Lepisosteus oculatus: one gene and its partner. The protein of the gene in region 1 interacts with the protein of each later gene in a biochemical or structural test. Links are inferred from orthologs where the notes say so. Each region holds a gene or a part of one and is shown on either strand. Other genes may lie near its edges.

The links. The genes of interacting proteins can lie anywhere in the genome.
Region 2: the proteins of tjp2b (region 1) and occludin form a complex in vitro, tested with the Homo sapiens proteins (3 studies listed by BioGRID). The link is inferred for Lepisosteus oculatus from reciprocal best matches to the Homo sapiens genes TJP2 and OCLN.

What each region holds. Positions count from the first base shown.
Region 1 is NC_090698.1:57,834,345-57,841,380, reverse strand, and holds the start of tjp2b (tight junction protein ZO-2b), read right to left. Parts: upstream 3,004-7,036; 5' UTR 2,953-3,003; coding exon 2,840-2,952; intron 1,994-2,839; exon of another isoform or gene 1,873-1,993; coding exon of another isoform or gene 1,760-1,872; intron 1-1,759. UniProt on the Homo sapiens protein: Plays a role in tight junctions and adherens junctions. Acts as a positive regulator of RANKL-induced osteoclast differentiation, potentially via mediating downstream transcriptional activity.
Region 2 is NC_090698.1:67,187,310-67,194,991, reverse strand, and holds the start of occludin, read right to left. Parts: upstream 3,011-7,682; 5' UTR 2,713-3,010; intron 1-2,712. UniProt on the Homo sapiens protein: May play a role in the formation and regulation of the tight junction (TJ) paracellular permeability barrier.

The sequences.
Region 1 (7,036 bases):
TTTCTTAATTATCCACTATGAGGGTAATATACAATGTATGTAAGGGGATTTGTACTAATTAGCATTAATAGTCATTTTGCCCATACAGTTGTTTCATAATCACATAAGATATATTGTGGGCTGTTCCCTTTTTCTATACATCATAAGGTTGGATAAGACTACTTTAGAATTTCTATACCAATTCAATTATTTCTATCAAAAGAGGACTCATACGTATTTTTAGCAAATAAGGAATAATCATACGTTTATGCTTTGATGTAAAATTAGGACTTGGGCTTCCTCCTGGGTGTTGCATTGTCACATTTATTGCCAATTGGAGATAAAAGATGAGACATTACCAAGCTTTTTATATCCTTCCTAAGGACTACTTGGTGTCTGAATGTTGATTTAATAAAGTGTAAGTATACAAAATAAAGAGTATGTGACCAATTCTGTTTTAAACTAATTTTAATGGATTTACATTGGTCAGAATTTCACTAATTTAGGGTGAGCATTCTAATCATTACTCACATGTTATGTCATGTTACCTTTAAATATGCCTGCTATAACAATGTTATTGGGAATATATGAGTTCACGTCATTTTCTTTTTCAAGTCATACAGACAGACAACAGTCCTTGCCTGAGCCTCTCCCAGCTACGCAGGATATTAGACAGGGAGATCAATGCTTTCCACTGTTACTTTATGAATAATTATTAATTCTAGACAAAATACGAAATACAAATCATTTATCAAATTTTGCCTAGACTGGATACCACAGATGTGACAGAAAATAAATGTGTTACTCTGCCTTAAAAGCTTTATAGAAAATCAACTTCTTCTATCTGCTGAGAAGTTTCTAGTTAAAAGACTGTGGTTAAAAGAGTGGTTAATGTTGTTTCTTTTACAATTTGCAAACTCTGAATTTTTTGTTGTATTTTTTAAAGAACCAAACTGGGTATTATTCACACGTGAGCTAAACGACTCTATATAGAATCTTACAAATATTAATAATACCATCTACAACACATTCACATATATTCTTACACTAAATTATACAGTGTATTGGCGTAGTACTTTAAATTAGTGCAGACAGAATTTAGTTAATAATTACCCTAGGAACACAAATATTCACTGTATGAAATATTTTGAACTGGAACCACCTCAAAAATATAAAAAATGACATTTTGTTCTTTGAAAAATAAAAATGGATCATTGATGGTATTAATCTATTAAACATTCTGATACAAATGACGTTTCCTTATAAAACAGATGCAGTTAAGCTTTGAGTAACATACTATGTTACCATTGTCATCAGGTGACAATGACATTAATGATTTGAGTTTAAACAACAGAAGGCAGTCTAAATTATAAAAAAAAAACACAAAAACAACAGCACCCATTCCATAGACAATGTCTATGGCACCCGACTCAGTCCTGCCTGGAGAATCAATTGTGCTGGAAATACTCTGTAAATTGCCTATTCCCTTCCTAACTTCATCCTGTGGTGCCCTTCCTGCACTGAGCAAGATGAAGCTGCTGCAGACATGCAGGCTAGTGTCTGCAGACACAGGCATCAGAGAAACAACCAACTCTGTTATCGGAGCGATAAACACAATCCCTGTCTTCAGAAGACCATGCAGATAAACCAGAGGCATAAAGCCATCTTCAATAAACACAAGACGAAAACAGCTGGCATTCAAACGGGCAAAGTGAAAGCATGCATACAGCTACGCCATCCTATTTCAAACCCCTCATCTACAGAAGTTACTCCATTTCACCTTATGCATCTATGCCGGAGAGACGGGTCTTCCTTCTTTTCAGTGCAAAAGAAGCATATATTGCTTGCTATGTTTAATAGCTCCTTGAAGATGCAAAGGATCCTCAGCTGCATTGCGGCTGTTAAGTAAAAAGAAGGTGTCTTGACTTTAGCACTTGTGAAGTCAAGTGTTGGTGTCTTTGTCTTTGCTCACAAGTAATGTCTGGTATCAGTATTCCAGTCTGCCTCAGCAGAATGCTGCTCTCACTGCAAGGAGAGAGCTGCTGTGAAGCCAGTGCAGGTGCGTGCTAGTGAAAGCCACCACACACCATCCGCAAACTGACAACGGTCGCATGCTGCACGAGACAGCCAATTAGACACAGAAAGTGTCTCGGCCAGCCACTGGGAGACAAAATCTCAGGCAGCTTAGTGGTTGAAAAAATGCCCCCAGAACATTTCTCCAACCCAGCTGTATTCAGACAATTGGGACCAGTCTGATATGTTTCTCACTGTTTGTCCTTGCCTCAGTTCCTCACAATGTATAAAGACATAATTATTTAACATAGCCGTTAAAACACAGTACCTGCCACAATACTACATGTGAACTATTTTGGAAAACATTTTAGCTTTTCTTTTTAAAAGCAAAACAACAGAATATTGAAATATGCTGTGTTTAATCATCATATAATTTGATCAAGGTAATAACATGAAAATAAAATTAACATCTAGAACCTTGGCACACTATAGTTTTACAAAGCAGGGCTTAACAACACTTTTCCTGCAAAGCACCCTAAACATAATGCTTTCCCAGCACCAAATAACACTGCATTACACTGCATAGCTGTGATAGCTGTGGCTGCTGTAGTGTTGATCTTTCCTAAATGCTTCATCTTCTCTAGCACAACTGGTATTAAACTGTGTACCCACCTTAACTCTCACACTGCCACACCGTTCATCTTCAACAAAAAACATTAATCATAAAAAGATTGTTTGTTAATTAACATTTTGCTCTGAATGCCCATTTTGTTTTTGAAATTCTCATTCCTGCCTAACAAACTCATAACTTTCAACCCATTCCAGCAAAAACTGTTTCCACACTCACCCTGCTTGTTTCCAGAGGCTGTAGTTCCGACTCTGAGGAAGAAGTTCGCGTTTATTCAGTGGGGCAATGCCCATAGCTGCTTGCATTATAGTTAGATATTTTTTGTACTTCATTTTGTACACTACAGGACTACACTATGTGCCGTCCAGCAACTATGTAGGTTGCAAGAGGTCCATTTAGTTAAACTGATATTTTTCGGAGCAAAAGAAAACTCTTTGGTTGACAAATCGAGAATTTGCTTTCTGAATCTCATGAGCGTCATTCTTACATAATTCTAAGGATCTTCAAACATTACACTAATGAAAATGCTCCAGGGGGATAATTGTGGTACTAAGCCCTGACAGATAATGTAAATTCCCACATTCCCCATAATCCCCAATAAAACCCAAAAGATAAATCTGAACCATTCCTTGGAACATTAACCCCCCAAAAACTGCTGTTGATTCCCAAAATCACCCCGACACTGCTTTAATTTAGAGGCGGCCATGTCAAAGTCTGTGCGTTTGAAGCCAAAAGGGGGTACCCAGAATTTCTTTTAAAAATAATCTCTTGGAAGAGCAGCAGGGCAGCATATCAGGGGAATGCAGCTTTGGAAAATGAAATTATGTGCCGGCAGCTTGCACGAATGGATTACGTCCTTCTGTGCGGCTTCTATTATAAACCCAGGGATTTTAGTGCCAAAGAACGATAAAATAAACACAATTTAACTAACCATTAAATACACAATAATTAGCACAACAAATAAAACAGTTTTTTGCACAGACTACATGCTTATTCTGTACAGTCTATCATGTCATGGAACACTTTTTGAAAAGTCTAATTTTCAGCTAGCAATAAGATCTGTGCGTCCACCTACCACCAATATAAACAACATCAGACATTGCTGTCAGATAATCCTGATAATATTGAGAAAGCATCAGTCAGGAAAATCACAGTTGAACTCTTTAACTTGGAAACCTTTGGTAATTCTTCTTTCAAAAGTCTGCATCTCCAAGCATTTCTCACACATAACTGAATGGAATTACTGGAACACACCAGCAACAGCAAACTTTACAGTCATAGCTGTTAAAAATACCAGACATACTTCTTTCTGGAGACCAGACAGGAAGAGATAAATATACTGTCACTTATAATGATGACTTCTAAAAGAAAGGATCCATGTCATAATTTCGATAAATGATTTTGAATTACATTTACTATTTACATATATAGATAACATAGGTTCTACTTCAATTATTGCACTCTTTATGGCTGATACAGTTTATTGACATCTGATTAGAAATGTGACATCTGTACCAACTCCAAGATAATGATGTTTTCGCTGCTGTTCTTAAAAACTGGAAGTCCTTTGCTTGAACATTAACACTTTCAACTAAGCCAAACTAACACTTCCTACTTAATATAAAAAGTATGCTAAAGCTTTAAGCCACACTCAAACGTGCTGTAAGACATCGCTTAGAATACTGTATCTGGCATTGGTCATCATGTTACCAAAATCTTGTTGTTGCCTGCAGAGAACAGTGGAAGAAATTCTAGGAATAACCTGCATGTAAGTGGAATGCAGGTGGAGATTCCAAGTTGACTTGCATAGTGCTGACTGTTCAAGCCAACTGGGAGGGCAGAGTCTTAATGTGGGGCGAACCTCTTGAGACTTGGTGCAGATTCAATACAACCTTCTTGCACAGCTGCACACTGACATCCTCCAGCCAACAGGTTTCTGTACCCATAAGATGATCTGAAATGTCTGATTTTCTAATAGGCCTATCAAGGAACGGACTTTGAATATCTGTAGGGCCTGGCTGACCTTGCGAAGACTGGCCACTCCTTCTGTACAGCTGGTGGAGGCTGGCCAATCGACGGCATCAACAGGACACATCCATGAGTGGCAAGTCTTTGCCTGCTCTCTGAGGCTGTGCAGAGTGGTAGATCATTCTACAGCAGACTTTCCAGAGGCCCACCCCACAAAACATCATGAAAGCTACACCCATCCATTCTCTAACCACTTTATCCTATACAGGGTCACGGGGGAGCTCGAGACTATCCCAGCAAGCAGCGGGTGCAAGGCAGGACACACCCTGGATGGGATGCCAGTCCATCACAGGGCATGAATACTACATATAAATGTGAATTATGCATACTGCATACTGAGGTGGAAAACCAGATTGAAGAAGGTCAGAGATCTCCCTTTCAGTTCATGTACACAGAAAGACTTTGCAAAATGATCAAAGTATAAGTATAGTGGATACATATAGATATACTGTAAGTATATAGTAGATAGATTAAAGTATTTTACATATAGTGTAAGAATAAAATCCCTCTAGAAAAACTTCTCTTTAGCATTAAGTATCCTCTTTACTGAGAACTCAATGAGTCCAGCTTAATCTTAATGCTAAATGATAAAATACACAAAGTGACACCAGAATTGGTGGCAGAGAATCTTGATGGATCCAAAGAGCATCATCCTAATAGCTTCCCAGCTTCCCAACATAGCGCAGAGTAAATATCAGCCTTTTTTATCCCCATATAAAAACAAATCAGCTACCGACTCTTCACAGCATAAAGTACGGTCAAAGAATTTACACAATGTGCTCATGTAACATCTAGTACGTAGCACATCCTTTGCATATTTTTATAATTGGAATCTTGGACTATACCCACTGATGTCCTACTAGATATTCCCATCATTGGTATAATGTAATCTATATATGTTCATATTGTAACGCATACGGCCGACATTACAGGTTGTGCGAGCCGACTTGCCAGCGTGGTGATGTCACCGCCCTTCCCTGTGAATATATAAAGATTTTCCTTTAGCTCAGCTGGCTGGTTCCCTGCTGAGTGACGCCAGAGGCCCAGGTTCGAGCCCCAGCAGTAGAAGGCCGACCTGAGACCCACGTGAACCTGGAAGTGCTACAAAATCCTTAAGTTCCACAGTTTGCATTCTTTAACAACTGATTACCTGTTTTTTTTTCCTGAATCACATATAACCTACAGTATTTCCCCTGCTTTTACAGATGCATTTACTTCAAGATCTGATATGTTCAAAGATCATATGGTACTTTTACTGTTGTGCCTTATCACTTGTACATCTAAATATTTTTTTTTTGTTGTAATATGCCAGTCTAAAACATTTGTACTTTAATGTTAACAAGTGTGACTAGATCTTTATATACCACTGTATTTTCACAGATAACCCATTCTCCTTACTACAATAGGAAATCCCACTTCTCATACTGTATAATGACAACAGTATCCATCATTAATGTCCATAAAAAGGAGTTCAGCTGAAGCAGACTGTGTAATTGAAGCCATCGGTCACACAATATAACCACTGACTACAGGGCTATTAAATTTGTAGGTACCAAGGGAATGTTTTGATATCTAGCCTTTTAAAATTTTAATATAAGCAGCATTCTTTTCACTCACATTACTCAGATTTAATATGAAACATGCATTGTAAAATCACAATTACTACTGAAATTGTATATTTTCAGTGAATCTCTAAGTAAAACCAAGTTGATAACCTACATGGCACAAATGTAAAAATGACATCTTTCTCCAAACTTGAATGAACAATTACTATTTATTTGCTGAATTTAACATATTGAAAAAGATAAAAAAGTTAATTTGGCTTGCGCAAATGATTGGACATTTTCCCAGCTGATTAATGACTACTTTTTTAATTTGTGTTTTTCAAAGGTCCCTAAACCTGACTGACTCATTAGGCCTTAAATTAAGTCAGTTGAACAAATACTCTGATTCTTCTAACCTCTCAGGTTGTGATTGTTGTTCTGCCAACTTTCAACAACTATGGGCTCATACAAAATAAAGATAACTGACTCTTTTAAAGCACGTGAAGGCTATAAAAAGGTTGCTAAATGCTTCCAGCTTGCAATTTCAACTGTTAGAAACATTATTAGAAATCATTAAGAAATGGAAGTTAAAGGGAACTGTTGTAGTCAAGGCAAGATCTGGAAGACTCAGAACAATCTGGGTCAGATATGCAAAGCAGAACCCACAGATCAATGCAAAGGACCTGCAGAAACGTTTAGCTGCCACTGGAGCAGTTGTCCATTGGTCCACAGTACAGCGTTGCTTACACAAAAATGATCTGCATGGGAGAGTGTTCAGAAGGAAACCATTCCTATGACTTCATCACAAAAGTCAACGTCTGAAGTATACAATACAAAATCTTGA
Region 2 (7,682 bases), about 9.4 Mb from region 1:
TAGAACAAATTCAAAAACTCATTTGAAGGGCAGAGCTACCCTGCAAATTCCCCCCAAATTCTCAAGTTTGAAAAATAAAGCTGCCGTGTCAGTAAATTCTCAGCAAGGACAGCCCAACAGGTGAATTTCCAAACCCTAATGGCTGAAAAAAAACAAACAATAATTGATTGATTGATATTTTAGAACGCAAAAGACAATTGCATACTTTGCAAATTCTGATGATCAGGCTTTTGCCAGCACATAAAAATAAAGTAACACTTTATTTTAAGAGTCTCCTATAAACCATGTCTTAATCCTTTATGAGTAACACACTAGCACTTCAATGGATAACGTCTATATAAACGTTAGCTAGGTACTTTTGTGAGTTACCCGTGAGGTGACTGTCATCAGTAATAGGAATTGTCTGCCATTGTATTGTGCTTTTCATCCTTATTATTTGTGAAGTCAAAAGTGACTTAAAGACAGTACAGTAGGGACACTTTATCCATTACTGAATTACAGGACCCATCTGGGTGGATGACACACTGTCGAACCCAGTACAAAGCACAGGAGTAAGATATTATTTCACCTACTGAATTAATACATTTATGTAAGAGATTGTGCAATCCCAAGGTGAAATTCAGCACACATATATGTGCCAAGTTTCCCTGATATATAAAAAGGTATGTATTAGTCATTTACTAGCACTCAAGTTTTATTTCAGCAGAAAAGTAGTAATCTATAGCTGCAAAGGAATAGGTTTATTCCATGAATAATAAATATGAATAAAACACAGCTGCAAGTAATAGGTTTATTCCATGCTGAAAAGAGAAGAAAGAAAACACAATGTTTCAGCTGTGGAGCCTTCTTTAGGTGTAATACATAGCTTACAGCTGACCTCTAAAAACACATTCCAAAATATTTTAACATTTCTGCATTAATATAGTCTTTGAATTTTCAAACCACAGTATATTGCATTTTTCCACTGACTAAACAATGTTCTCCTACTTTTCCATGAACACAAAACTATTACCACTGTCCATATAACCAAAATCCTTAATGTGGACATTTTAACATTCCACAGTGTTTATGTTTTAAAATAATTCTACAGAAGTAGGAATTTGATATTTCATATAATGAAAGAAAAATTAAATATACAATTTTTAACACATCTGTGAGGAACAGACACACAGTAACGTATTAAGGTTTGTACCAGAAATTATGCGTCAGACATTTACTCTTCTTAGTGTTTGAATTGGTGTACAGAAACTAAACATTTATTATTTAACAATCTGAAACGGGAAAATATATATATATTTTTTAATAAAAGCTAACGCATGATCATCATATCTAAACACTGTGTTTTTTGTGAATACCGAGCGCGAAGGATGAAAAGGTGTGGTTGTATCTGGGTTATGTTGCAAAACCCGAAAACTAAAAGTAAAATCTTCATAAAGCTAATCAGGATCTGAGAACGCTCTCTAGGCGATAAAAATATGAATTACTGCTCAACATAAAACAGCCCTCCATAAGATAACACAAATAAACGTTTGTAACGCAATTCACTAAATGAAAGGGAGTTAAAAGGGTATGCGGATCTCCAATTACTAAAAATGTACACTTTGAACTGGGAGAGATCTAAGAAACGCAATTAATATCAAATAAGCTTTAAGTTGTCCAACTGGAAATTTGGTAGTTTCGAACATGTGGTTTTTCTACCGTCAGTTTTAATTTCGATTAGTCATATTCGATCCGTTGTTTTGACACTACAAGCTTATTAGAATATTCTTCTTTAGGAATGAGATCTCGCAAATAATATTGAGAACTGGCAAATTTCTCTGGCGTAATTATAGGCAACTCGTGTCAACAAATAGCTTAAATAAAGTTTTCGACATTTTTCAATCACTGAACAAAAACCGAATAAATCAGGTAACAAACCTCAGAAACAGGTTATTTCATATCTGCTCCAGTTTATAATGCGAAGCCGTTTTATTCTTTAATATGTAGTTCAAAAGCTCAATTAAAAATGAGGAGAGGCAACGTGAATAACCCCGTATGGACATTAAGTTTGTGAAACCTACCCATTTTTAAAATACTGTATATGTTCGGTTCGCCATACAAAACACCATTCAGATTAACCAGGTTTGAACAGAACAAGAGTAGGCAGTTTTATTAAGATTAATACGATGACGTTAGTTTATTAAAACCCGCCCAGTCTCTATCATACCTGAAGACAAAACACCTGTGCAAAGAAACTAAAACAGAAATTCGTCCATTGCGCAACGTTTTCAGGTGTACGTTTGAAATAAACCTGAAACAAATCGTTTCTGAAACGAGGAAAATCATGTTTACATTCTCTCAGAACACAACCAGCATTTTCAGTGGTGCCTCCGACAGGAAAACGACCATTTTACCGAGTTAAATTATAATCGTCTACGGCAAGGCAACTTTACAATTAAAAAAATAATAATTCGCTGCAGTATTTTGACCTGTTTTTTAAAAACGGAACATTTTTTCTTCTCTTATCTCAATTGAAAAATCAACCTTACTAGGTAAAGAACATGAAGAAAATATTACAACAACGTGGAGAAAACGCCACCGGCAATAGAAACAACAAAAACAAAACACCCGCAGATGTACTTCTCTGATGTTAACCTACTAAACAAGACAAAATATAAGTATAAAATACGTGTTGTACGTATACTCGTAACAATATATAAGCAATAAACTTACCAAACCTCTTCAGTATTTCCACACCTGCCTTGTGTCTGCTAAAACCCGTATGCCAATACTGGCGCAGGACACACCTTGCTCTCAGAGACTCACAGGACTGGTGCTGCTCCTGTCTGCAACGTCATTGGTGATCCCGAAACGGTTCTCTGTTCAGCATCAAATAAACCTTTACTTGTTCCTCATTGGTGATGTCAGGCTTGATTTCCACCCCGCCGTAGACCAAACCTGGATTCATAACAAAGCACACCAACCGGTTCCCCTGGTAGATACTGGCAGGTTAACTTTCTGTGCGCGTAGGTGGAGTGTTTTTGTCGGAGATATTTTTTAGACTACCTGTAATTGCAGGATTCAGTACCTCTAATTAACACTCCTCAATTACACAGCTGAATAACTGTGCTGGTTAAGAATAGAGAAAACGATAAAAGCAACGAAACCGTAATCTGTACTGGTACCGGGAGCCCTAGGCATTTTAACTCTATAATGTGAAATCGATAGAAACAATCGTGTCAGATTTTCAAGATGGCAGCCGTCCACTTGTCACATTCCTGTTAACATATTTTCATACATGAGAAACATGCTCGTCACTACGTAGGTTTTAATACATTTGATCTGAATGTTTATTCGAAACACTCCCTTCGATGCGCAGTCGTTTGGTTGCTGTAGTGGTGAAGTAAACTTTCATGAACGTCTTTCTTCCCGTTGCCACATCACGAGACAGAAACTACTCTCTTGCTGACAACTGCAGAAAAAGTTTTAACCAGCAAAACTGGGAACCTCTGATTGTGATCTTACAGCAACCTGAGCTGGACTACTCAAATTGAGAGTTTGTATTTTTGCGAAGATTAAGAGTGAAGTTGGAAGGGAATGCTCGTCTTTTACCGTGCTATAATCGAGAGCGTGGATTGCTCATGTATTGGTCCAATTAAGATAAAAAAAAAGTCACCCGTCTTGTCCAAACAGCAAAGATTATGAGAGTAAAGCAGCATCTCTTGCAGACGATATTTGAACAATCCAAGATTTTACAGGTGGAAAAATTATATCAAATCATTTTCCTGTTCTTAATTCTCGTAACTTCTTCTTTCCGGAAAACGTTTTAGGGTTCCAAAAATGTAGATAAAATAGATATAATAATAATAATTGTTTTCACTTACATAGCGCTTTACAGGTAATGGGGACTCCCCTCTACCACCACCAATGTGCAGCATCCACCAGCATCTACAAATATGTATTTGGATTGTAATTGTATCTAAGAAAGCAGTTAACATAAATACATGGAATTACAATTCAGAATAATTTATTAAATGAAATCCAACTGATCTGATCCAATTCCAAAACAGAGGTGTTTATACTGAACTCTTATGTGGTAGGCCCCCCTTTTGTGAACAGGACCAGAGGGTCTTTAAGGACCAAAAGTCAGGATCTTGTCTTAATGTCTCAAATGAACAACGATTGTACATCTGCTGGTCCACCAACACGACTTACCAATGATCCAGCTTGACAGTGTGGAAAGTTGCCCTGGGGTATTTGTGTGGTATTATTCTATACAGTATCAACTCCTCCCTCGCTCTGCATCCGAACAATATGCCGCTGAAGCAACATAGACTAGCTGAGCTTCACAGCAAAGAATGCATTTGATAACTGCAAAACAGGACATGACTACCGTGACAGTTAAATGGGACAACAAATCAGCATGTATTTGCATCTGGAGAACTTAAAGGCAGTAGAAATGTACAGTAACACCATTGTTCCAGTCTGTGTGGTTTGCAATCCATCGTAATAAGATAGTCAAATAATTTCATGAAGGGTTTTGATAATAAATTTACTGACAAGTTGTTTACGCAATTTTGTAAGAAAAAAATAGTGGCATTATTAAAAATGATATTTGGCTAAAAGCTTTAAAAAAACCATCAGTTATTAATTTTTCACACCTGTACATCAGAGAATCTCACCCATAATTGATTTAAATATAGGACCCAATTCCACTCTGCGGCCAGCTGAGTAAAAACAAAGCATGGATAGCAGAATCCTAGATTCAGTACATGTGTTGTGGAGAAAATGGTGCTGAGGACATAGAAATAATTCTTAAGATAGATAAGGACATGTGGCTTTTCGTATTCGTATTTTCGCTTTTCGACATGTGGCTTTATTGTATATAGCGCCTTTAAAAGTGGGTTCTCAAAGCACTTTATAGAACAATAAAAACAAAAATGAAAAAATATAACATATACAGTACACACTGAGAATACACAATGAGAGGAGACAGTAGATGGAGGTACTGAGTACAGCAGGAGCAGAGGGGTGAAGAACAGAACCAGTTAAGTAAAGGCTCTTCCAAAAAAGAAGGGTTTTGAGGAGTTTAGAGAAGGTGACTCTCTGATATTCCTGGGGAAAGAGTTCCAGAGCTTTGGGGCATAACAGGAGAAGACCCTGTCACTCAGAGTGTAGATGGGCTTGGGGGACAGGTAGGAGACCACAATTAGAAGAGCGAAGGTTGTGAGGTGAGGAGTAGGGCTATAGTAGCTCACACAGGTACTGAGGTGCCAAGCCATGCCAAGCCTTATGTCAGGAACTGATAGGTTGAGTAGGAGGATCCCATGCGATGCCGTGAACTCTGCGGAATGCAGAGTAGCACTAGAACTTAATCCGAGGCATGGATTCCTGAGGCTAGGTCGGGAGAAGTAGCAATGAGTCAGGTTACCAGGGTAATCCAAACGAGGGCAAGAAATCCGAGAAGCAGTATCCAAGTAGTGAAGTTGATAAGGGAAGAGTTTAGTCCAGGAACTGTGAAAATCAGTAGAGAACTCTAAGGGAAGCTTCTCCATCGTGTGCGTGGGTTGGTAACTGAGGGAAGCTTGAATACTGAAGGGAGAGAGATGTGGTTGGATAATTGGTTCAGGAGTGAAAGTCTGTGGAATCGGATGCATGTGTGAATGTGGTGGTTTCCGTGGGAATGAGTGTGTGAAACAGTGGGTTTGGGAATGCCATGGCGTTTGCGAGGAGAAGTGTGGGATTTGACACCTTATAGGTGAGCATGGGGATTTTGAAGTCGACATGAAACTTGACAGGAAGCCAGTGCAAGAACTCCAGGATTGGAGTAATGGGATCACTTGCACTAGACCTGGTCAGGATTCTGGCTGCCAAATCTTTGGACACACTGGAGTTTTTTGTTCAGTGTGGATTTAGAAACCCCAGCGCGTAGAGCATTACAGTAGTCGATCCGGGAGAAGACAAATGTGTTGATCAGCTTTTCAGCCACAGGTAGCAATAACATAGGACATAGTCTAGCGATATGTTTGAGGTGAAAGAAAATGTTTTTGATATGTTGCACGTGTGGGTCGGATGTCTAGCCTGAATCAAATATCACCCCCAAATTTTTCCATTTAGACTGACGTTCAAGTACAGCCTTGGCTTTACAAAGCTGATGGGGGCGCCAATAAGCATGACATCAGTCTTGTCACAGTTTGACGAAGGACATTTTGAGACATCCATGTTTTTGATGGCGGAGATGCGATTAGACAGAAAAGAGACAGCCAGGTCAGTGTCAGGTTTGGTATGGATGTAGATTTGAGTAGCTTTGTGTAAAGAGGTACTTCCTGCTTAGCAACCAATCCACATTTCTTTAAAATCTTTGCCAAGACTCTTTATTTGACAAAAAGCTAGGGAGGCATTAAATATATGTGGGGAAAAGACTATGCTGATCATTTCTATATAGTACTTCACGTTTAAGGCAAACATTTCTTAAGTGACTGTGGGGAATCTTTCTGTGGTATTCAAAAATCAGACTGAGCTGAACTTTAGGTAAAGTAAACCAAAAACCCCTGAAAAATATGTTTTTAGTGAAACAAATATAAGGCAAGTCCAGTATGAAAACATCTCTACAGAAGTATTTATCGATATTCTACTATATCTACCACACACTGTTTGTAGTCAAAATGTAGAAGTTTATTTACAAGTTAGTTTACAAAACACAACAAGACAGGAGTGGCTGCTGTTGAACATTTCTTGCAATGCCAAGGTGCGATTATGTTTCAATAACAGTAGGCTACCACAAAAACAACACAGAAAGCATCTATTTAAGCAGAACCGAAAAAAGGACTTTCAGCAACACGGGCAAAGCAAGAACACCGCCAAGCAAATGCTTTGAAATTTGCTCTCAGTACTGTAATGGTAGGCAGTCTGTTGAATGCCAGTCTTCTGCTACATCAGCGATCCTCACTTGTTGTAAGACACAGCTCTGTGTTTCAGAGGGAGCTCACACACTCACCAGTGAATAGAAACGTGGAAACCGTTTGTTTTAGTAGATATTAAATCAATGCTTGATTCAACTAACTAATTAAGAGCTTTGGTAGAGTGAACATCAGTGGAGACTGTGGCTCATGAGGCCCTGAACTACACAACACCAGTAGGACCAAGGGTGGGGTGATCTGAGTTCTCTGTAATTGTGTAGCTCTTCGGGTCCACCAGGGCTGGTTCGATTCAGGGATTTCCAGTCCTGGTTCTGGGGACGCCTGTAACGAACAGTTCTTTCCGGACCCTATGCAGATGACACAATCCGACGGAGTGGGGAAACACTAGGGAAACGTCATGCAGGAATACGGGGCAGAAGACAGGGGGGCGTGTCCACGGTGCGCTGGTGCACAGGGGAGTGTGGCCGAGGCGAACAATCCGAGAGAGTAGTCCTTAGGGAATATCCAAAACACACGAGAAAGTCCAAAACCAGAAGATCCATCAGAACAAGTTAAAAACCATGAAGGCCGGGTCGGAACCGGAATGGGAACGGAGGTTAAAACCTTAACGGGACCAGGCGCTTCCAGGTCCCGGACTCGCACGATATGGAAATCAGATGCAGAGCCCGGAAGAGCGTCAGCGCCTGGCTTTTAAGGTGGGCTGGGAATAGGGAGCAGGTGCATAGAATAGAGTCTTTAGTGAAAGGGCTGGAGCACCCTTAAGGAGGGGGAACTAATATCGTG